Styela clava: one gene and its partners. The protein of the gene in region 1 purifies or fractionates together with the protein of each later gene. This does not show direct contact. Links are inferred from orthologs where the notes say so. Each region holds a gene or a part of one and is shown on either strand. Other genes may lie near its edges. The genes, in order: serine-threonine kinase receptor-associated protein-like, SUZ RNA-binding domain-containing-like and cold shock domain-containing protein E1-like.

Region 1 (8,702 bases):
TGCCTTTATTGCAACTTCACATCTATGTGCAACTCTTACAGGTGAACTGAAAAATGCACTGAAACGCACTCAACGTTGCCAACAATGAGGTTCCCCCCATAATTAATACTGAATTAAATATTTTACCTATGAATTTCAGGAAATCATGTATCCATATGGAATATGATGAATTATAGTAAATTAGTTAGGTGAGTAATTGCTTGTCCAGATGGTACATTATAATGATTATGATGATTACATAATTGTTGAAAGGGCCTAAACTGCTATGTGCTATCATTACTAATGTTCAACAACTTTTTGGAATAAAATTGGTGAAAAAGTAAAATGTGTTGAAACAATCACATTATCGAAATCATGGCAAAAATTCGGTGTAGGATAAAAAATATTCATAATACTGAGTCAAACTTGACCCAGCAATATATGGACTAAATTTACCACTATTATTTGGGACCTCCTGAAGTATTCGCACCAAGATGGCGCACAACTTGAACTCAGGTTGTGTATCAGGTTAGGGTTCAGGTTGTGCGACATCTTGGTGCGCATACTTCAGGAGTACCATTAATTGAATAGCGCCTGGGAAAGAAACTTTTGAAACTATTAATGATATTATGAAGTCAACCAACTGAACTGTGATCTTAATAATAACAACAGGACAATACAACAAACAAAACAAGACATGTTAACAATCAAATAAGGATGTAATAATACTCGATTCAATACAAAAAAATAAGAGAAATATTGCAATATTAATTAACTAATGATTAATTCAAACATGACAAGCTTTAATGACAAGTTTTGTTGTACAGAACTTTATTAAATTCCCATTATAACGTTTTAAAATTGGTTATATCTGGTACTGAAATCGTCCACACAATATTGATGCCACCAATTTGGCCAAAACATATATATAAAAATAGTATATAACAAAAGATAACAAGAGTATAGAAGGAAACAAACCTTTCGACATCGAATATAGATATGGTTTTATTATTGGTGACAAGAAGTGTTGTTTTATCTTGCGACAGTTCAATATCTGTTACTGTTGAATCTAGTTTAACTTGTTGAACTTCACTATTGGTTGATGTATCCCACTTCCTGCAAAATATTAGTTTTTTTTACTTTGTTGCAGTTATGAGAATGCCCAAAGTAAAATAAAAATTTACATAAACAAATCCAAAGTAAAGCTGATGTTCACAAACATATTTCAAGTGCCCCACTAAAATGTTGAAAAAAAAATTTGCATTAGAAGAATTTTTTATTTCGTTGCATGCATGAATTCTTTTTTTCGTGAGGCCCATCTAGATGTGTGAAGTTGGTTATATGGCCCATCGACAAAAATATTGCACACCCCTACATTGGATGATACTCCAATAGCTCAAAAGTAAAATACAAAAAAATGACCCCCTCAACAGAAACTAAATTCTACCTATATTGCATCAAATAACCCATTTAATGGTGCTAAAATACAACAAACCTTATTGTTTTATCCTCTGACGCACTTAAAACAATCTTTTCATCAATCCATAACGTTTTCTTTATACTTCCCTCATGTTTCCCTATTTCCTCTGGATCTAACAATTTAAAACAAGCATTTTCAAATGTTGAATGGGTAGTTTTTTTTTCACTTTTAAAGTTTGGATTAAATAAGACTTAAAAATTAAAATATGCTATCAATCTACATGAAATATTCCTCAGATATTTTTCATCCCTATAAGGACCTGAAAGTACAATTCTTTTTCTTGATTAATAATATTTAAGAAATCATATAAACTAGTATTTCTACAACAAAATAGTAGGCTACCACATACCTGTTTTAAATTCACTGAATAACAAATATAGAAACTACTAATTTATATTAATTTCTAGAGGTTTTGAGTATTATTTTACTTTCGAACGTAAGTAATTTCATCTGACATACTGTTGAAAACTGTCATGCTTTCGTGAGGGCATATCACTATTTATTTTAAATGAATTACTAGATATTTTAAATGAAGGTATTCAACCAATATTTACAACCTGCATCTGTTTTCTCAATATTGAAGCAACGAAGTGTTTTTTCTTGACCTCCTGTTAATAACCTTGATCCATCTGGAGAAAATGATACAGCTTTGACAATATGTTTATGTGGAAATGATGCGTCAACATCACCAGTGACAGCATTCCAGAGTTTACTGTATAAAAAAACAAATGATTAACAGATAATAGAAAACAATGTTTGTCTAATTAATCAGAAACAAACAGCCAGTCAATGAATTCAAAATTTAAATTTGAATCATTTCTGATAGATCATCAATTGCCCGAATTTAGTTCGCTACGGATTAGAATCATTGAGTTATGACCCATCAGTATAATGTGATCTTGTTGTAAAAAGTATCATTGCAGATGTTCCTACACAAAATTGATTATTGAGTTATGTTTAGCTTAAGTTCTACTTAAGTCAACTAGACCTAATTTAACTCTGCATTGCTGCATTTGCCTCATCTTAGAATAAAACTGCAAGATTGTGCTTTGAACAAACTTTGGTGGTGGATGCTTAAGTGTTCTAAAATATCACATACATATCTGAATTCATATGATGATCTTTTTCATCTACATCGTTTTATAAGACTATATTTAACACCTTTTAAAAATAAGTCTATATGGAATACATGCTTCTGTATTTTTATATGGGAGTATGTTCTTGTCAAAGATTTCAAATATATAAAAAAATATAATCCGTTAGCATCATACGCAGTGAAATCAGCTGCTCCAGTTGCTGCTTTTGTTGCATCTTTATTCAAAGTAGCAGCCCATATTGCACCATGATGTCCCTGGAATGTACCAACCCAATCTCCTGTATGTCCTTGTCGCAACATCGGCTTTCCATCTGGATAATACAGTAACAATATTACAATCTTACCAGAATATAGAATAAAAGATAAATTTTTCATTTTATTCAACCCTTGCTCAGTTAGTGCTTTAAGCATTGCAAATTAACCCAACTGCTTATTAACTAATATGAACCCACCCTTGCATGCGCTGATCAAGAAATAGCCATCTTCAGTTATATCGCTGAAAGCCAAGTCCACGACAGGGCGAGTATGGCCACTGCATGTTAGAGGTGTCTGCTTTGTCATCCTTTTTATCGCTGAACGGTGGAACAGTTAGAATATCTTGGTACCAGTACAGTTTAATTTACTGTGCACAACTAATTCAAATTAGGCTATATCAGTGTCAACAACACCAGTCAGCCAGTGAGCAATAAAAGCGACAACGTAGCCTACCCTACGGCCTACAGGTCCACCTTTTACGCCCGATCAGCGACCACACGGTTTGGTGCGCAGCACAGACTGACTGAATAATGTCGAAGGATACGGTACGGCACGTTGCAAACACTGCACCACTCACACTGTACTGAACGCTGGTGGGAAGAAGAAGACGAGAGCTGCGTCGACTCACAATACAGCAATAAGGACACAGTCAAGAATCTCAGTAAACTATGGAAGAATCGAAAAACAGCACGTTGAGTGGTACCGAGTCTGCAGCAACAAATCCGGCGATCGAATCATCGAGTTAATATCATATCGTTAGGATTTAGTTACATATTTATCTCGGTGGAGTAGAAAGCCGATAAGACAGTTTAATCATAGAGCAAATCACGGCCTTCTATCTGGTTACCAGTCCATGTCGGGTATGAGATTAGTTTGTTAGCCAGTTATTTGTTCCAGATGCATGGACTTGATGGTGAAGGAAGCTGAACCGACCAGCCATCACGTGAACCACAATACGTCAGCGAGTAGTCCAGCAATCTCCTCTCACATAATCAACCCCTACGGGATTCGAACCTGCGAACCCATGCAGAGCGATCAGAGCTGCGGTGACAAGCTTATTCCCAACGCTTGACAGGTTGGCCAATGGTGTTAATATAATTCAGTAGTAAGTTCACTAGTAAGACCACATAGATAACTGGGTTGAATATAAACTGTTCGGAAAATAACCAACAAGACAAATCAACAACACCAGAAAATAGAAAATATAAATCTTCGCTACAAAATTTATATTACATAAAGGATGTGTATTTATAAATGATAAAACTCAATTTTTGCGTTTTAAGACATTCAGGTGTTTTAAGACATTCAGATACCAAGTTTCATAATGTTCAATTATGATTTGCGAAACTAATATGTGAAGTAGTCGATTGGCCTTTTCCCTTGTTTTAACCTGATTATTTCAAGTATCAAATAATTTCAGTAATACCCCAAAAAACTAGCTGTTTTTGAAGTTAAAAAAGCATAAAACCCAATACTGATCCACCTTCCGTAACTGTTCAAGATATATCAGGTTATTTAGTTTTCGCTTTTCTTGTCGCATTCTACGTTTTTTACTTGTTTTCTAGGTACTTTCCAATGTTTTTTTTTTATCAATAGCCTACATTGATCCTACATTCCGCGTGGGCGGAATCGTCATACCTAGATAGCCTACAACAATATGGCGGAATATTCTCAAATACTATGCAGTACCAATGCCAATTTTTTGAAGTAAGATCCTATTTTTAAATTATCAATTAAAACTTAGTAGGTATGATATTCTTCTATCTATATGTGTGGTGACATTGACTCCGGCAATTTATAAACTTATTCAACAAATATCGACCAAATTGTCTTTGACTTTTAAGCTTAGCGATACCAATATAATTTTTACGGGCGCTTTGTTATTTGTCAGTTACACTAAGTGATAATCGAATGTGATTTTTTTAACAGAAAACAGAAAAAACTCATATTAAGTTCAAAATAAAATCTTTGTTTAGTAATTTTTGTAATAAACCTCACCGTCCCCATTTAGAAATCATTTGCAAATATTCTCGATCAGCCGCGATTCTTACATTGCAGTTGTCCCATTGTTCAAGAAAAAACACATATTTTAGTATGCTACATATTTTATTATGTAAATTCACGAAATTGCCATGGAATGTTCTTAGATTCGATGATTCTAATCTCATTCAGGAAAAAATTTGAATTATCAATTCAATATAGTACTGATACAGTGGGAAACTACAAGATGTCTCAAGTTCAATTTGGGATTGAAAACGAAAAGGTAAACAATCGCAACCACATTAATTTATTTGCACTCAGTCAAGATGATATTGTTGCGTATTGAAAATCAAGTTACTCCAATAGTTTTTAATTCGATTTTTTTTTTTTGAAAATAAATCAAATACTGCAAACAATTCAGTTCTCAAAAAATACGATTATCTTTATGCTAGGGAAAATTCCCAAAGAAGAATTTTTTACAAATGTACAAAAGTAAGATGTTTTCTGAATATAAAAAAACGTGAGAGATGATATTCAGGAGTATGGAGTGACACGTTTTATGGAAACGCTGATTAAGTTTAGTATTAGTATATTTCAGTATTGAATGTTAGTACTGAGAGGCTGAAAACCAAAATTTGAAACTTCTCAAAAATCAACTCTATCATCTATTTTATAATTAAATTATATATATATACTAATTATAATGGTGCGTTGCAAAATGTTTCAACTCCCAATATATTTAGGAACTTTACAAAGACCTATGGTTCTACGATAATTCAATATGCGTTGTTTCAGGTTACTTTTAACTTGGCTCTGTCTGAAATTTCTTCAACGTTTTTGAACTTATATATATATAAGCATCTATAAATTTTGTTGATGAAACTGGTTAGCTCATTCAAAAATATGGGTTTTATCTATTGAAGTAAATTGAGCAAAACCCTAAAGATAATACCCAAACGGAATCCAGAAAATCCTTTACCGACAACCAAATTTGTATATTCCATTAGTGTTGTAGGATATATTTATAAATTCCGGCTGCAAAAATGTTTTGAACTTGAACAATTTGGGCGAAAATGTTGTAGTCATAGTATGTGGATTCTGACTCATTAACTTTCAAGAGTTCGAGAGAAAATGTCGATCTTGAGCTGGGAAGTAAAATAAAGATCAAATGCATAGAAAATTTTCATCGTTAAGGTAGTTAGGTCGATTAATGGTCCAATATTATCTACTATCAGAAAATTATATTAACTGGTACGGATATTCGTCTGTTAAGCATCCGCGTGAAATAACCACATCACCCAAAAATGATATATGTTTCTCATGATTTATCACGTATATTATTTTGTTTCATATAGAGGATTTGCGATTTATAAATATAAAAATCATATTTATGACCTGAGCAATATCCACATTCAGGTATAGCATCAGCCATCAAATTTCATATCATTCTAGCTTCAATTATAGTTTACAAAAATAATTTGAGAAGTCGTCTTGCAGTCTAAGTGTTTGATTCAGTTTTCCGTAGAATGGCAAAAAAATCAATAAGATCATATATATAAAGAATGAACAGAATTTGCGTTTAGCCTATAAAAATATTTAATAAATTTACTGTTATACTATTAGACCTGAATTTCTTTATCAATATGGTATAGTATCTTAAGGAATACCAAGGAACGGGCAATTCTTCGGGAGAGCGTGGTAATTTATTCATATTCAGATAATTTTTAATAATTTGATCAGAATGATATAATTAGCCTCGCTATGGTACAGTTGTATAATGTGGTCTAATTAGGCGGGTAGGTTTTTTCCGATAAAATTTATTATATCCAAAAACTTATGTGTAAATTTTCACTAAACAACAGAAGTTCTGTATCATGACATGAATATTATCAATGTTTCAACTCACAAACCTCCAATATCTCGACAAAGCCGAACCCCATATTTTGTATCTATACCCATGTAGTTACATATGGTAATTTATAAATAATACATTTTGAACGGTATGAATAATTTCCGCAAAACTAATTGATAATATTATAACTAGTTTTAATTTGAATACACGTTTCATTGTATTGGATGAATTAGTACATTACGACAAATTATGGCAACGCGCGCCAGAATTATAAACGTTTCTCTTGTTCTAACCTAATTGATAGCAAATATCTACTCCACTAAAACTTAACATCATGCAGTTTTTAGATGTTTAAATTTTATATCATACCCCCATGTTTAAAAACAATTTTTTTTTTTTTTTTTAATTTAAAAAAGCACAAAACTAATATCTCACGCGAATTTGGTGCATTGTAATTTCGTTTCTGCTTCACTTGAGCTATATTATCTTTACCTGTTTTTTATTTTTTACTTGTTGAGGTACTTTCCAACGTTGTTATAAATACATTAATCTTACATTGTTGGAATTCCGCGTGGGCGAAATCGCCATACTCTCAACCAGCAATATGACAGAACATTCTCAAATACCATTCAGTGCTGGCGCCTGTTGTTCATTCGGGGTAAGATTACAACTTAGTATGATAGTCTCCCTTCCATCTGTATGGCAACATTTACTCCGACAGTGTGTCCGCAACACACGCGATGAAGTTGTTTACAACTACCAGGGGTACCAAGCCACAATTTTTAAACTTTAACAAAGGTAATGTATTTATTAAGTCTGTTGTTTTTCTCATTCTTCCATTATATTGTTGTGAAATTGTTGTCATTTCGTTAACAGCACTCAAAAGAAACTCATATTTAGTAATGCAGTAATCCTCGCTATTAAAATTATTCGCGACTATTCGCTAGTTTTACAATTTGATGATCGTTCAGGAAAGCAACATATTTGAAGACATTGAAATAGGTATGAAATGTTCTTCGAAGGAAAGAAACGCAGACTGAGATTAGACTGACGTAGATTGGACTGATTCAACTATCATCCAAAAAAACATATTCCATTAACACTAGCAATGTGACATACTACTATTAGATGACCGTCCATTTGCACCCACGTTCATTTGAACCCATACATTTGCATCGGTATATCTGCGGGTTCAATCTATATGCGTGTGCTAACATCCATGGGTTAGGGTTATTATGGGTTCAAATATCCGTAAAATAAATGTCCATAGGTGCAATAGTATGCAGGTGCAACTGTCGTGGGTTCAAAATACGGGTGCAAATGTACGTGGGTGCAAATGTAATGGAACCAACTATTACAACGAAAAGCTTTCCATAGATCCGAACCATTAATGTTAATATTTGTAGTTTATGGTTATGGTTATGGTTTTAATTCGAAATCGAAAACCTATAGAAGAATGATCGCAACCATTCGATGATCTTTATACGTTGGTAATATTCTTGGAATTTAGCTATGGCACTATTGAATAGGCCTAGATTTTAATTCTATTTATCTTTGAAAATGAAACAAATAATACGAACAATACAGTTTTTGAGAAGTACGATTATACGCAAGCGAAAATTCCAAGAACAGTGTGCCCTCACATAAAATGCAAATGCACAAAAGAACGATGTTTGCTGAATATCCAAACATGCGATTCAAAAATAGGGCGTGGCTCATGTCGAAGAAGCGTTGATTTAATTTATTCAGACTCGGAAATTTCTGTTTGGATTGCGACTCTAAAAATCAATGCTTTGAAGTATCAACACAACGCTATGACAGTTTGACATTGTGTTTTGTTGTTTAATTTTTATGAAATATTTTATACCTTTTTAAGTAAGGCAATTACCAAGGTAATGGATAATTGCTAGTGCATATTTCGACCTTAATTGCTTCAGACGGTGAAAATAGAAAATTTCTGGTTGGGTGATAGGGAATAGGAAATGCAGTTTTTTTTTTTTATCTAAAACATAATTGCCAGGGTATAATCTATAAGACATGCAATGAAAAGCCGCCATTTT
Region 2 (7,953 bases), on another chromosome or scaffold:
GGCTAGTATTATAATTTATATGTAGATTTTAAGTGACTTTTAAACCTACAGAGATATTAATTTACCAGTACAAATAAAATCATCGCTAAAGTCTTGGTCATCGTCAGAAAATTTGCTTCCATTTTCTTCTTTGTGAGAATTTCCATTCGTAAGTTGCAAATGTTGATCAACATGCTTGTCTAGATCCTGGAAAAAACAGTTACAAATGCTGAACTGGATGAATAAAATCTAAGTTTAGGGCTTCTTTCAGACTAACTTAATTAAAAATCCACAACAGGATATATCAGATAAAATTGCAAAAGACGAAATTCTGGATATTTCATAGCTTTGGTCTGCCATTGGATAGGATAGGATTCACATATTTATCCTGGGGGAAATGAAAGCCGATAAGACGGCTTATCCATATGGCGAACCACGGCCTCTCGTCCGGTTACCATTCCAAGTCGGGTATGTGATTAGTTATATTGTTTGTTTTCGGAAGCATGGACTTGGCGGTGGAGGAAGCCGTAACCGACCAGCGGTTACGTGAACCACCCAACGACAGCGAGGAGTCCAGCAATCCTCTCGCACATAACCATCCCTGCATGGGATTCGAACCTGCGAACCCACGCAGAGTAATTAGAGGTGCGGTGGCGAGCGTATTCCTAACGCTTAGCCCGTTGAGCCACACCGCCGCGCCAATGAAATAGAAAACCTCAGAAACTTAGGTATGTCTATATATTGAAAAACTAGTGACAGAGTGAGGTACCGTACCAGTATCATTTGACACAGAAATTTATATGAATTGAAATATTACATTGAATAAAAAAAGGTTTCAATCGTCTTTTTTTGTTTTGTTCGAAATACCAACCCTCCTTGCACAACTGCCTGTATAAAGGACCATATTGTACATATTTGATTTACCCTATTATAATTTATATACCTATATCAAAAGGGGTGTATGCCGCACATCTGTGTTTTAGGCCAATATGGTCTTGTGCAGAGGCGTAGCTTAGGGGGGGCAGTGGGGTACATATGCCCCCGGGCGCCAAGGTACAGGGGCGCCAAAATGGGGCTGGCAAAAATTTCACAACAAAGGTAAAAAACGGTCACAAGCAAGATCGCACCGGCGGCAGACATCTAATCTTAGTACATGGCAAACTGCACACTTGGTCAGACCACTTACGACTGCCGACGTCATCACGCACATAGCACGGTCAGATTTCCATCGTAATTACATGGCCCAAAAAAATTTGGCCGGAAAACAAAGCAAAATTTGATTTGGTAACGTTAGGTATTAAAATGCACCGGGTTAATTACGTGGTTCTGTATCGTTAAGTTCTTGCCTGCGCACTCGGATGTAAGTTGATATTAGTTCTGTGCTGGAGACAAATGGAAACGGAATTTGGTTGAATGATGTTAATACATGTTTTGAGTAATACGTGGATTGTATTTTGTTGTCAAAGTACCGTACTTTGCGGCAGAGTTACATAAAATATATTATACTGTGCTAAAAGACCTCAATGCCGTTTTCGACAATTCGTCGAGATTGCACAGATTTTGCAAATCTCTACCCCACGGACATCAATGGCCACGAACTTTTCACCGAAATTGGAGATTGCAGAATGCTGCTCAGTAACAGAACTGTAGATCAACCAGAAATTCCTTTGGCTCTTCTTGGTTTTATTGTGTCTTTTGGAGACGACGTTTCATTCAATCTGCGAATTTCTCTACACAAATTTTGTTAACAATATCAGTTTCAATTGCAAGCTGTGAACGGTCTTTCAGCAGATTGAAACTTATTTTGTCGTATTCACGTGCATCAACGGGACAGGATCGTGTCCGTGATCTTGCACTTCTAAGTGTTGAAAGAGAAACATTGGAAAAAAACAGATTTTGATGACGTGTTAACCAGTTTACGACAGTGAAATTGAAAAAATGAATTTATTTTAGTCTATGTAGATCATCTTTGACAGTAACTGAGTGGGACATATGCTCTATTTTGTATAGCTTTGCTTCTTCTTTGAATAAAATGTTTCATGAAAATTTGAATTTACATATACATATATTTTTGAATAAATAATAAAATATATAAATACATATAAATTTAAATTCACATATCGTCACGCTAATAACCGAATTGCGTAAGTCATTTTGGGCGGTTTTGAATTTTTCATAAAATAAGTATTTATGTAATGCTGCGCACCTGTCTGTTAACTCAGATTTTATTTTAAGAATTCCGAAACCCATAAAAATAGAAATTTTGTATGATATGCAAATTTGTTCAATTGTTCCGTCATAATGAATTATCATTGTTAACGCAGTTTTTGCATCTCAGATTCTAGCTTAGCGCTGATAATTTTCAATTTATACTACTGTATAGGAAGGCGTGCACTTGTGATATTTACTGTCTGAGTCCAATTCACCTTGGTTGACTTTTATATAAGAGTACATTACTGTTTTATTCTTTATATTTAACTTTAGTCTTATTTCGGTGATGTGCAGAGCGTGTTATATTGATGAAATATATATTTTTAAACATAAAAAATAATGTAATTGAAACAGATTAGCTATTTTGGGGATTTTGGATTGTTTGGTTTTCAGGACTGGTACATATAGACAAGTTGCAAAATTGCGTATGTCCTCTAGCCATAGACACATTTTTGCCTAAATCACAGTGTGCCATTATGGCGTCACATGACTGCGTCATACAAATTAACTTAAATCCGGCTACGATCAAAAAGTTGAACTATGGCAAATTAAAGACTCTCAATGGCATAGCAATATCATTAGGAAGTTTTTTTACGTTTTTCTCAAAACAGCTAAAAATGACTTACGCAATTCGGTTATTAGCGTGACGAAATATAATTTTTTTTACATATACAATTAAATCCAATAGAAAACATGATTAAACGTGGGGGCCGGGGCGCCAATGTTATATTTTGCCCCGGGCGCAAAATATGCTGGCTACGCCTCTGGTCTTGTACATACATCCCGTCTTCAGTATTTATAATTACTTACTCTTTTATATTGCTTTTACGAGACGAATAAACATACATACATACAAGCATACAGGTTACAATGTTACGGGTACAATAAACCGTTGAAAACAATTTAATTGGTGAATTTACTCACATTACTATCCGCAAAATCTTCCCAGCTATCCCATATGTCTTCTTCTGCCATAATAAAGAGAATAATACAACGAAACGTCGCGTCAAACAGTCAAAAGATGTAACGAATCACACAAAGCTCGGTATCAAATGAGAATGTTTTCCACAAAGCAAATCTCCCCACAAGCCATAGAGACTAAACTGCAGAACTGAAGTACGACCGAAAAATAGTCAGGTTATGAAGAGAAAGTGAGAGATTGTTTCTTTTGCAAAACATCATATGAAAGTGTGGTGAAGCTAATGTATTTTTTATAGAAAAGCAGATCCTCATATCATATCCTGAATCTCATAGAAATGGATAGCGGAAGAAATACTAATCAACGGTTGTTTTAGTCATCATGGGATAAGAATATTGTATTTGCAGTTGTCTTGGCAGAGGAACTACGGATTCTCACCCGTTCCCCAGTCAATCAATCAATCAATCATCATTTATTCGTCAACACAATCAATATAAATATATCACGGAAATATGGCAAGATATATAATAAGTAAAAAAAAGAACTTCATATGTGTGACAGGAGTCGCGAGGGACCACGAAAGGTCTTCGAGCAGCGACACCTACGATTACGTTTATTTGACTCAAAATTTACCAAGACTGTATATGCTTATCTGGCTTATTTTTTATTTTGTTGTGGTATAAAATGCTACGTCCCAATCGTTACATTAAGTCAAACACGCATTTAAGTAACTCCTTATTAATAAAACTTCATTCTTATTTGCATTGCTTGTTCATTATGCTTCCAATTTTTTTTTTATGTATTCATGTTTTTGTATTCTGTGTTTGTATATTTGTCCTGATCTCAGTTGTTTTTCGACCACGAGTAGGATTAACCGATACATTGAATATTTTTACCTCTATGGCACTTTTAAACCAATAATTGCTCATTGATTCTTCATGCAAGGGTGTATTAAGTACAAAGCATTTCGAACGAATTGGTCATCGAGATAGCCGAATCCGGTGCATTTTTCATTTCGAAAAAACTTTTTTTTCCTGCTCGCCCATCCTTATTCTCATTCCAAAAAAGTATCAAATATATATGCTTCAGTTCACTTTTCAAATCAATATGGCGATGTTTAAACAATGTACACTTTTTGCCAAATATTGAGCTTGTTGTTGTAACTATTTATTCATGTATTTTGTATTGGGTGGTAGCGGACTGATGACCTTTTGTTTTGAACCCCTGTTTTGTTCACATGTTTGTCCTTGTTTTTTGGTTTGACAAAAGCAATAAATTATCTCAATAAATACCGGTAGTCGTGCAAGATGTAACGTACCCTTGCTAAACGTAACAGTAGTCGATGACTGCTACGTTACAATGGTAATTTTCTCACGTCACATTTAAATGCAGGAAGCAATGCGATGAAAATATGCGTAAAATACACTCTACATCTTCAGCCTACGGGGAACGACTCGGAATTCCTAACAGCCAAATATGCTACGGTACCGGTACCCCATCCAAACTACTGTATTTATTTTTTTTATTTAGCGTTCGCTGTGCAAGGACGAATATCACGTAAATGTGACAACTTTTGTACGAAGGTTCCTAACTTCTTCACCAGTCTTGTTGCACACCATGTCGGCCGCTATAGCGCTTTGTTGGATAGTTCTTGAGAAAAAAACTGCTTCCTAATACTGTATCAACAGTGTAGGATACTGTTAACTGTATCTTTGTGCCTAAAACCTTGAATATATTATTCATCTAGATTGCACAGCCTACAGCAGTGAACTAAATTTAAAATCACCAGCGTTTATTTAATATTTTCAAGGCGATAAAATGGAAAGGCGACATTGAAAAGAAAAGTACACATGAATTAAGCCTATAAATGGCGGCGTTCTCGGGAAAATATAAGTAGTCAATGAACAGAGATTGATAAACAAGAGCTGATTGGTGCAATTTCCTAATAAGAAACAAACAGTGCAGTGCCAGTTGAAAATTGAAGATGCAGGATTCTTACTGAGTCATTGATAAAGTAAAGTCGTTGGCAAGGCAAAAAAGTTGTTGATACAAATAAGTGGGGCCACAAACTTTAAAATTCTATAAAGCAAGTTATCACCAGGCAAAAACAAATAATATCATAAGTGTAGTCAAACAAAGCAAACACATAAAAGTGAGATTACAATTATCTTAAATGGATCCGCCAAGTTATAAATAAAAACACACACACACACACACACACGATTCCACATCAAAATTAATGAGATGTCAATTAAAAAATAAGAAACAATTTAGAAATGCCTAGAATTTTAAAGTTTGGAGCCCTAGTTTGATTAAATGTTGTCATAATTTTAATACCAGTATACACATATGGGAATACACAAGCGAAATGGTTACACTTGCATGTGAATCATATAGTAAAATTTGGTCATTGTATTCAAGCGTGAATTACGAGAGGCCATACTTCCAATGTATATTCTATACATAGCTCAAGCTTGAATGATGTGATCAAGAATTAGTAAAAGTCGCTATCTTCATCACTATCACCAATTCCCAAAAACCAGTCCCAGTGATCATACGAGTCTGAATCATCGCCTAAGCTCGTATTTGCACCGAGAAGGTACACCAGGTCAAATAACTCCATACTATCATCTTCAAGATCAAAGAATGGATGATCGTGCCGCTCTTCAATGAATTCCCATATTGTTGATGAATCGAAGGTCTATAAAAACAGTTCATTCGTCAAAGTACTCTAATATTTCAATTCATTAATTATATTTTCAACAATTATTCGATATTATTTTTTTTATACAAGTATACTCAAAGCAAATAAAAAGAAAAAAGGATTAATAGCCAAATAACAACCAGCAACCATAATCTAACTTTGTGACAGAAATGATAGCAAATACAGGTTGACCTAAAAATTCAAGCTAACACTGACGAGAAACGACAAATCAATTTGCAGGTATTTACCAAAATGAATACATTATTCAAGTAATAAATATAAATTTGCGTTATCAGCATGTATGACTAAACTGCAGATTAAATTATCTGGTAAGTAACTAGAGAATAAAAACACTATAGGCCCAAGAATTGAACCTTGTATAAATCTTCTATAAAAAGGTTTGGCCATCAAAAAATGGATTCAATGATTGAATAGCTTAACCGGGACATAGTATGAGATGCAAAACTATGGAAATAATTGTTAAACCTGCAATCTTCCTTCTGCATTTCTAGCTCTCTTTGGAATTTTTGATCGATCTTGTTTTGTACCATCTGGATACGCATGGAGGTAGAAGCAATTAGCTCCGAACGGACATTTTCCTCGGCCTTGATCGAAATGTTTGCATGACTTCTTTCTGTAATTTTAAGTTTGTGGTGAAAATTTTACCATAACAGAGTTAATGGTTTCGAATATTAATTACTTTACCTATCGGTCTATAATGTCTTAATTCCAATTGATATAAAAAGGCACAAAAGTCTTTAAATTTTTTAATGATGCGCTCATACACTTGCTCCAATTAAAGTTCAATAAGCAGCCACTAAGATGCTACTGTTCTGGTTTTGGATATTCTAGCAGCGAACCAGATCTTAGAACAAAGATTTTTTGCTACAATACTAATGCAATAGCTGTTACACAAAGAGCCCACCAAAAGTTGGAACAAAGCATAATTAATATCTCCTTCTACAAAAACACACATCTGAGCAATGGGCACATTCCAGATAGTTTACCAGAAATTACCTTGACAGACAATGATTTAACAGTGATGGGAATCTACTGAAAATAACTTACGATAAGTGATCTTTATACCCTTCGATTAATTTCTTTTTCTCTTCTTTATCCGAGACCCAGTCATCACTTGGCGTTACGAAAGATGAAGATACTCGACACTCTGGACAAGCTCTGAAAAACGAACAAAATATAAGGTTTGAATTTTCAAATATAATTAAGGACATGAGTGAGATAGTAGTGAATTCCTTACTTGACAACTGTATTATTAAATGACTTAGCGCTTCTCCATTTTCTGATACAATCAAGACAGAATGCATGAGAACAATTTTCTAAAATTCCAAACTTCCTTTCCCTTTTTTCTTTCTTTTCCCAAACCTGAAAACGAAAAGATGAAAAAAATATTGATGAAATCAGGAAAGTGAAATTTTTCATAAATATATTTTATGCCAGATTTATGGATGATGTAAAGAAAAAAATTGGAAGATCAGTGGAGTAAACCATACGCACCACTTCCATACAGATGCCACAAGTCACTTCACAACTCTGTGCAACTTTAAATGATTCTTTCATATCTTCTTCATGACTTGCCAAGCACTCCTAAAAATAATCGTTCATATTTTATCTAATTATCACTGAATATTTCATAAAATTTAAATTTTAGCAATAAAAAAATTGTGCGAATTTTATGTCAATTTATCTTAATAAAACTTGCTTCTGGATCTGGTAATCAGTTCATTTGGATATAAAATTAGTTGCACGAGTTGGACATTTTAGTTACACAGATGAAGATTGGAGTAACATAACAGATTGGTAATTTTTTGAATAATCACTGTAAAAAATGTATACAAGATTAGAACTTATGGAAGACGCAATGGAAGTCGCAACAATTAACTCATAAAAGAAAGTACATGGAATAAATAAATGTACAATGAAGTAACATACAGGACAAGTAATGATTTCGTTAAAATTTCAAACAGCTCAGATGAGTATATAACAAATTAAATATATAGTTAGAACGATAGTATAAACATTTTCAGTCAAATCATAGTTTCCAGAACACTGTGACGTTATAGTTAACTTTTCACCACAGAACAGTCTTTCAAGACTAAGAGAGAATTTGATTACACTAATA
Region 3 (8,135 bases), on another chromosome or scaffold:
ATTTCATCTACAAAAAAACAAAAGCGTCGCTTTACGATCCTGCATCAGGGTTTCGCGGTCAAGACAATACTATTCTGTGCGTTATCACTGTAACGCAATTAACACCGCCGTACTTTTTTTGTCTTCACGATAAGTTATCTTTTTATTCGGCGCTGATAATGATAAAGAAGAATTTGTAATTGTTGATTGCAATTCCGGAAGGCGTATTTTCCTTTCGCTCCATGAAACAGACATGAAACTAATTTTGCCGACGATTATGACAAAATTATGAGATAAACATGCCTCATTGTCACGGAGTTTTCAGTCTTCTGGTAAAATCCCAAAAAAAACAATATATTTATTTTCACGACGATCGTTTCGGCGGCCGACATTTCATTTAATGTTGTTCAAAATGACAATACTCATTATTCGATGTTCGTTAAAAACAATCGAATAACTCAATTCAAAAAATAAGATCACCCGCCACTAATCACGGCGCAATTAAATAATCATTGAATGGCAACAGAAAATCAACTCAATTACCGGTAACTATAAATTCCATGTAACAGTTTCACATTTCGTGCATTTGATCAGCGCTACATACGAGAGTTTTTTTGTACATATAAACCATTATGATACTACTGACATCTGCAAGTTATAGCTCTCTCTAAAATTAATTTTCGCAATTTCAAATGTTTTATTTCTAAATGTGGGTACCCACTGACTACGGATTAATGGCCAATGTTTGAAACAGGACTGCAAAATATTCACCAAACACCGCCAGGCAAAGAGAGGGGGGCTATACGTAACTGTGGTGTGGAATTTCGCCGTGATCCGTGAATGACCATATATTTTAGTTTATTAAACGCATTACGTCGTCGTGAATTGTACTTTTGGTGAAATGTTTTAGTTTCACCATAATCCCTCCGTCGGAAAGGTCCTGGCTGCGCCCTTGAAAAATATTAAATAGTTGATTGATAATCTAGATCATCACTGTATAATGTCTATATTTCTAATTTGAACATGACATGACTAAAAGATTTTATAGCATATTCGGCTCTATGAACTCCTATCGCATAAAATTTTATCATTGTTTCAAGAACTATCCATCCATACATGCTATTAGATCATGACAATCTAATCCACATACGTACTTATGGTACATAATATGGATGTTATAAATATCTCGTTACAAAAAGTACCAACAGTTAGTTCACCACAAAAGATGATCTTTCATCCATTAGTGAATCCAATGAGTTTGAAGAAAGAAACATTATGACAGCGTATACAAACTGGTATGTTATAATGGTAATGCTAACAAAGCCTTTTATATGCTGGGTTGTATAAGGCAATGTTATATGGTAAACAAAACTAGATTACTAATCAATCCGTATTGTTTAGTACACTTATGTGCAGTACACCAATAAAAGATAACACTGACACAACATATTTTTCAAGAGCGAAAACAGAATGTATTGACACTACACAAAGAAATAGGAGCGTTCGCAGACAGATGCTCAGATTTCAAAATTGAGGATGAAACTGTAAAGAAAACATTGCATGGTCAGGAATTCTGGTTAGTCAAGCAGAACCCTATTCATATTGTCTTTTTTAGCTCATAGGCAATTTTTATAAATAGGTGTGCCATGCTAGATTGCTGCTGAATGTCAAAACTTTGTGATTTACCAACAAAATATTTAAGTGGATGTCTAATATTAAGTTAGTGAAGCAATGATTTGTAGTATCCTTCGATAATTTCACTGGTTTATATCTAGAAATTTGAGGAAGAAGCTGAGGCCAACAGTGGAACCAGACCACCTGAGATAATAAAAATTTCAGCAGTTGTCTGTGTATGATCCTTCAACATGGTATTGAATCTAAGTCAAATGAGCAAGATAATTTTCAGGATGGGCAAGCTATGAGTAGAATGAATAAAAATTGACACAGGATGTGGATAACATGTATAGACTGCTTTTAGCATACTTGACATACCTTAAAAAATTGCCAACACAATCAAAATGTAAAAATGTTGAATGTAATGTTAGTTTGCTGGTAAATTCTTCTGCTGCAACTTGCTTGTTAGTTCTTGTAAATTTCCATATGTTGTATTAGTTGAAAAAAATCTGCAGAGAATTGTCAGATTGTGGTGAAAAGATTGAACTAGTTCAATTTAAACAAAACACAAACAATTTATGGCCTGTATGGGCCACATTTCAAAATTTCAATGATTCTCACTACAGCAATACCAGACTATGCCAAGTGGTAGGGTCAGCAGTGGCAGTGAAGTCTGGAAGTGGTCCATGGGTCTCGTGTAGTTTCGTACCTAACGTACTTTTAATAGGCGTAGCATAACAATTTTTTGATATGTCAATCCTAACCCCCATTCGACTACGCCATCCAAAAATTATGTCATTACGACATCACAATCCCATCATAGTACTTGCCAAATATACGTCCGATCGTCCGAAATGGCATCAGCGATGACGATAAAGAACTGAATAACTTCATCGATCTCTCTCCTATTGGGATCATAGCGTCGAGAAAACGAGAGAAACAGCAGTTCGATTTCGGGTGGTCGTCTGCGCATCTTGGATGGCAGTTCGTACCGGTATAGTTCAATAGTATGAAAGGCTCCATTACCTCACTGCTGCACTGTGACGTCGTAGTGACGTAATTTTTGGATGGCGTAATAAGGTGGGGGTTAGGATTGACATGTGAAAAAAATGTTATGCTACGCCCACTAGAAGTATGTTACTGTGTTAGGTCTGTAGGTACGAAACTACATGCAGACATAACCTGTAGTCCCTTTCAAACTCCAACATTCTGACATTTTAGCTCTGTACGGTACCGGTACAGCGGTACCGTACCTTCAGAACTTAGATTCCATGTTACAGAATCTTACATGTTTCAAGAACATTAACAATTCATACAGTTGAGTCAGACACACAACTCAGCAAATGGACACTCAGACTACAGGGGTCTCATGTAGTTTCGTACGGTACCTGATGTACTTCTAGTACATGTAGTAGGCGTAGCATACGGTAACAATTTTTTCACGTGTTAATCCTAATCTTGTAATCCCCACTTGACCACAGCACTTTGTTTCAGGTTTAATACAAGAGGGACAAAGTTTAACAAACCATTACTATTGTGGACTAACGTTAAAACTTCTATATCGTAAACCTACACGTAAATTAGTGCTCACCTTTATTTAGACGTCAATTAAATTATCCCGAGACCCAATTTCCCCACGCCAATCCCGACGCTGCCCAGGCCGATCTCTCTTTCTTCCCAGCAGGTACGTAACGTAAGGAGAAAATGTCGGACGATTGCAACGCTGGATGGCGACTCTGCGTTGCAATATTTATGGCGAGAGGTAACTTGAAAGGAATTTCTTCATCTTATAAATATTGTTTACAAAATCGTAAAATGCATTCGACATTGACAACCCAAAAATTTAGACTACGGTAATATCAGGTCATTCAAAACTTTACTCCTATGATGTAACAATTGACTTTACGCCTAATGACGACACAACTGATGAGTTATTGTTTTCTTTATTACATAATAGTGTTGAAAAGTACGGAGGTTAATGGCTGAAAAAAAACACTACAAATAGGCCGGCCTATATTTTCAATCATCTTAGAATCACAAAAACAACCAAAAAGACTTTCGGTAATATCTATGTTGATTCTTCGACTTCAGTATTAGGCCGCGAGCCGAGGCCATTTATCTTTCAGTTTCGTAGCGCACATCAGGTAACTACCTGAAAATGATTTTAAAATGTTCCTTAGAAATTTAGTAACAAATATTGCCTTGTTCCCACTTCCAAAAGTTGCACGTTTTACAGAAAAGACGCTTTTACTGCAATAAATATGTGTTACCATCTGTCCTATTTTCTCTGCTTTTCCGGTATCATGGGCCAATGAACGCAGACTTCTGCACGACGTAACAGTCAAGTTAGTCAGCTGTAGGTGGATCCCCAGTGGTCGGATGAATATCAGATGTACTCAACTGCTCGCTTTTGCGTTGAGAGAGAGAGAGTTTATTTCATTTTGTCAAACCAAGAAAACAATTTATGCACACATAAACAAATATAAAAAAAAATAGTTTTCGGTATATGACTGGGGGGCAACGATACGACCTTTGGGGGTCATCAGAGTCAGTTGCCACCCAATTATATTAAATAAGCATAAAAAAAACAGGTTCGTGTCAATATTTCAATGTCTCTCACGATTTATACTATGTACAATATTTACATGAATTTACTATTCTTAATTATGGAAGCATTCTTTTAAATAATAGGATTTTGCACAAATTGAAATTATATTGCAAAATATAAAATGATCAAAACGAAAAAAAGTGGGAAAGCAGGTCAGACAAGCTACCCCTTATTTGGGTAACTTGTTTTATTGACTGAATTTAAGTTAAACATAACAAGTGGGATTTTGAACAAGCGAATATGGGTAGAGTTCTATTCTACACACACTAGTGCAATGTAATCAGATGCATGGGTTGAGTCATCAAAACAAATTAGAATTTGGTTTAAACAACAAAAAAATGCATTTTAAAAATGCAATACATTGTAAACTTTGTATAAACAAACAATCGATATTAAAATATCAAGAAAGTTAATGCAAAAACAAAACAGTTGACTTAATGTAGGAATAAATAAGATTCAATATTTCATAACACTATGTGAAATGATTCAGAACACTTTAAAAATAAACATCAAATATTAGTGTTTGTACATAGAAATAGAACAATTCATAAATCAAGGCCATTTATCCAGATTTTTACACTAATTGGTAGTAAATGGATTAATTTATCATAGATTAGCCAGGGATCTCAATAGGAAAGTATTGAGATATCGTTGGTAGGTCAAAGGTTGATGAAAAAGAGCTAATAACTTAGCATATTAACTTCATAAGATAGAAAAATTGAGTGGAACATTTTATTACACAAGTAGTTGAGTAGCCTTTCCATAGTTTTTTTCAGTTACCGGTAATATTAGTCCAGTTATTCTAAGGAGGTGTTGAAAAGTATAGGTAAGATATTAAACACTTGTATATCCTTGCCATAAATAGCAATTTTAGTTGAGCACTAGCTCATAAGACGTTGTTAAATAGGTACGGTGCGGTAACTCCAAGGAAGGCTAGACCTAGAATAATACTGTAATATGTCACAAACAACGATATTTTCTGGCTTGCATGAAATGTTTATGATTAATTTAATGACTCTTCTTGACTATTCAGCAGACTTATACTACTATATAGGCCACAGCATATTTGGAAATAGAAATGAATGGCTGTTTCTGTAATGCACGGTTGTGTGAAAGAGAAGAAATTAATCAATTTTACTAATGTCGGTTGGTCTAAATCTAAATTCATAGAGTCGACAAGAACCTGGGAAGCAATGATAAGTTATGCCGGAGTGGAAAGAAAGGTAGCATTGGAAATGATTGAGAGGTGAGAAATGAAGTTGTAGACAAACAGTTGATGTTTCAAAATATAGTCTATAGTCCATACTCATACTGTCATAGGACATTTCAGACTGTGATATACCGGTATCAAAATTTAGTGTAGATATAGTCTAGTAATGGTATGCAAACACTGCTGGACTGTAGAACATGCAATGAGCATATATACGCTCATTTAGTACATCAGATAAAATGCATTATGTATTCAAGGTATTAGTTAGTATTTAGGGGTATTTTTAAAATCATGCTGCTCCAAATATTATTTTCTTCCTTATTTTAGATACTGTACTACAAAAGAAAACGGCAATGTTCCACCAATCCGACCTAACGCAGGCTCTGATCCCTGCTGCTATCAGTGCTATAAAATGGATTAAACAAGAAGTCTTGAAGCTTAAAGGTATATGAGAATCATAATAGTTGCAAACAGCTTAGATGGGCTATTCATATTGAAATACTTTAGCACTTTTCTGCAATTGGAACTGCCCATCAAATTCATGTTGGAGACTTCATTGAGATTTTCAATTCATTTTTTTCCCTCGACTATGAAGATCTTTTGAGGTTAACGAGGTATTAATAAATAAAGCTGAGGAATTTGAAGAGGATATGAAGAATGTAAATGATACGGTACCAGGGCACGTCTATTTAACACTGTCAAACATAAGGATTATACTCTCCACCCAACAATGATTCACTGAAGAAGCATGTTGCCCTCAAATCAGTTCTTGAGTTGGCAAACTGCAAAGAAAAATAGTCAAAATAATTTATGAAAGTGTGCCAAAATCAACTTAAATTGCACAGATTTTTGTTTTTGTATTGACTGCAGAAATCACAGTACACCTATAGAGGAAAAGTCGATTTTTGAGCTAGTGGATTTCGAAAACAATTCAGAAGAAAGTGAATTAGATATTACAGTTGATTTAATAAGTATCATACATTTGTTTTTTTTTTCGGACATTTGTTAGTGTCGTAGTCCTGTTTCTAGAAATATTATTGCCTTTGTTCAAATACATAACCACATAAACTAAAAAAAGATTAATTGTAAATTGTAATATTTCTGTTCACTATGTTATGTACATATTGTACATTCATTTAATTTTCTTGATTTTTGCGGTAAATTTCTAAGTGAGAAATAACTGATTTATTTGTGTTTTCGTGCTCACGATGTTAATTTGTGACTTCATTGCTTAAAAATAAATACGTTTGATACTTGATAGCTTCTATAAAATGGATGTAGCTTTTTATGCTGTTCTTGTTGTAAAATGCTTGGGGTTATTACATAAAATTCATTCTCAAATGTGAATCAGCGTTGTTGGTGTCGCTGCTTTCGAGGTCACTCCCGACTCCTGTCACACAATTAAAGTATTTTTTGTTGTTGGTTACATGTATGCCATATTTTTCGTAATCTACCTAATAAATTATGATTGACTGAGGAAGTCCGATTTTGGTCAGGCAAAACATTACAGGAATACATTTGTGTTAGTGTGCTGTAGGGCTCTCGAATTGTATAGTTCTTATGTATGCGTTGTAAACTTATGGTTATTGAATTTCCGGGAACCTCTTATATTCAATTTCGCACCAGGATTGTGGAACAAGCTGTAATGCGTTCATTATGTTCGTTTTCCCACAAAACTGAAGAATTTATTTAGTTACCAGATGTGCGCTACGAAACTCATTTTCTGGGCGTTTTCATGGTTTCGTCTCACGGCCCATATCCGTGGTAAGGATCTACAAGTGTTTAATAATTTACTTATACATTTTTCAACAACGTCTTAGCATAACTTAACTAATAATAACTAAACAGGGCTGTGGAAAGCCTGCCCAACTCAGCGCAAGGTCGAGCAGAAATAACTAATATTCATCCGCTCGCTAACAGCTGGTTTAATTCAATTGTTACGTCATGCAGAAGTCATTGTTCAGTGCCGAAAATGTAGAGAATATAGGACAGATCGTAGCACATATTTCTTGTAGTAAAAGCGTCTTTTCCGTAAAACGTGCAACTTTTGGAAGTGGGAACAAGGCAATATTTGTTACTAAATTTTTAAGGAACATTTTAAAATCATTTTCAGGTAGTTACCTGATGTGCGCTACGAAACTCACTTTCTAGGCGTTTTTCAGGGCCTCGGCTCGCGGCCTATATGTTCCTCAGTTTTTCATTTTTGGAGGAATGATATTTCCAAATTTTGGGTGTGTAGAGATTTTGACATACAACGCTTTGTAAATAATATTAATAATAAGCACGAATCACGTGGTACTTGTCCCACGAATATTTAGAAAAAATTATAGTTGAAATCAATGAGGGAAAAAATATTTTGAACAACAACAACACAAATACTTCCCTTACTCCCATGTTACCGTGTTTTCCCAAAAATAAGACCTACCCAGAAAATAAGACCTAGCCTGAATTTTATGAATGGTTTTAATATAAGCCCTTCCCATAAAATAAGACATAGTCAATTTTTTTTTTACCTAGTCGATAGCAAGAAATGTCTCTTACAAGTTTTAAACGATTAATCTAAAACGCATGAAAGAGGAAAACGTGTTATTTATAAGTAAACTGGTATCGGTTTTCATATTTATATATTTGAAAATCTCGTAATTTGCTACTTTGTAATTTTGTTTTTGAAAAATGAAAGTATAAGACATCCCCCGAATATAATCCCTAATGGTATTTTCAAAG

The links.
Region 2: the proteins of serine-threonine kinase receptor-associated protein-like (region 1) and SUZ RNA-binding domain-containing-like purify together in Homo sapiens (co-immunoprecipitation; 3 studies listed by BioGRID and IntAct, counting the BioPlex papers as one, with this or other methods). This does not show direct contact. The link is inferred for Styela clava from reciprocal best matches to the Homo sapiens genes STRAP and SZRD1.
Region 3: the proteins of serine-threonine kinase receptor-associated protein-like (region 1) and cold shock domain-containing protein E1-like purify together in Homo sapiens (affinity purification with mass spectrometry; 3 studies listed by BioGRID and IntAct, counting the BioPlex papers as one, with this or other methods). This does not show direct contact. The link is inferred for Styela clava from reciprocal best matches to the Homo sapiens genes STRAP and CSDE1.

The regions. Positions count from the first base shown.
Region 1 is NC_135251.1:26,654,583-26,663,284, reverse strand, and holds the start of serine-threonine kinase receptor-associated protein-like, read right to left. Parts: upstream 3,453-8,702; 5' UTR 3,117-3,452; coding exon 3,008-3,116; intron 2,867-3,007; coding exon 2,731-2,866; intron 2,172-2,730; coding exon 2,017-2,171; intron 1,572-2,016; coding exon 1,475-1,571; intron 1,096-1,474; coding exon 958-1,095; intron 1-957. UniProt on the Homo sapiens protein: The SMN complex catalyzes the assembly of small nuclear ribonucleoproteins (snRNPs), the building blocks of the spliceosome, and thereby plays an important role in the splicing of cellular pre-mRNAs.
Region 2 is NC_135264.1:10,328,649-10,336,601, reverse strand, and holds the start of SUZ RNA-binding domain-containing-like, read right to left. Parts: upstream 3,318-7,953; 5' UTR 3,166-3,317; coding exon 3,115-3,165; intron 187-3,114; coding exon 66-186; intron 1-65. Other genes in the region: putative E3 ubiquitin-protein ligase makorin-1, read right to left, coding at 5,604-5,810, 6,300-6,447, 6,882-6,992, 7,072-7,196, 7,329-7,418.
Region 3 is NC_135255.1:1,854,333-1,862,467, reverse strand, and holds the start of cold shock domain-containing protein E1-like, read right to left. Parts: upstream 3,439-8,135; 5' UTR 3,185-3,438; intron 2,103-3,184; 5' UTR 1,972-2,102; intron 1-1,971. UniProt on the Homo sapiens protein: RNA-binding protein involved in translationally coupled mRNA turnover.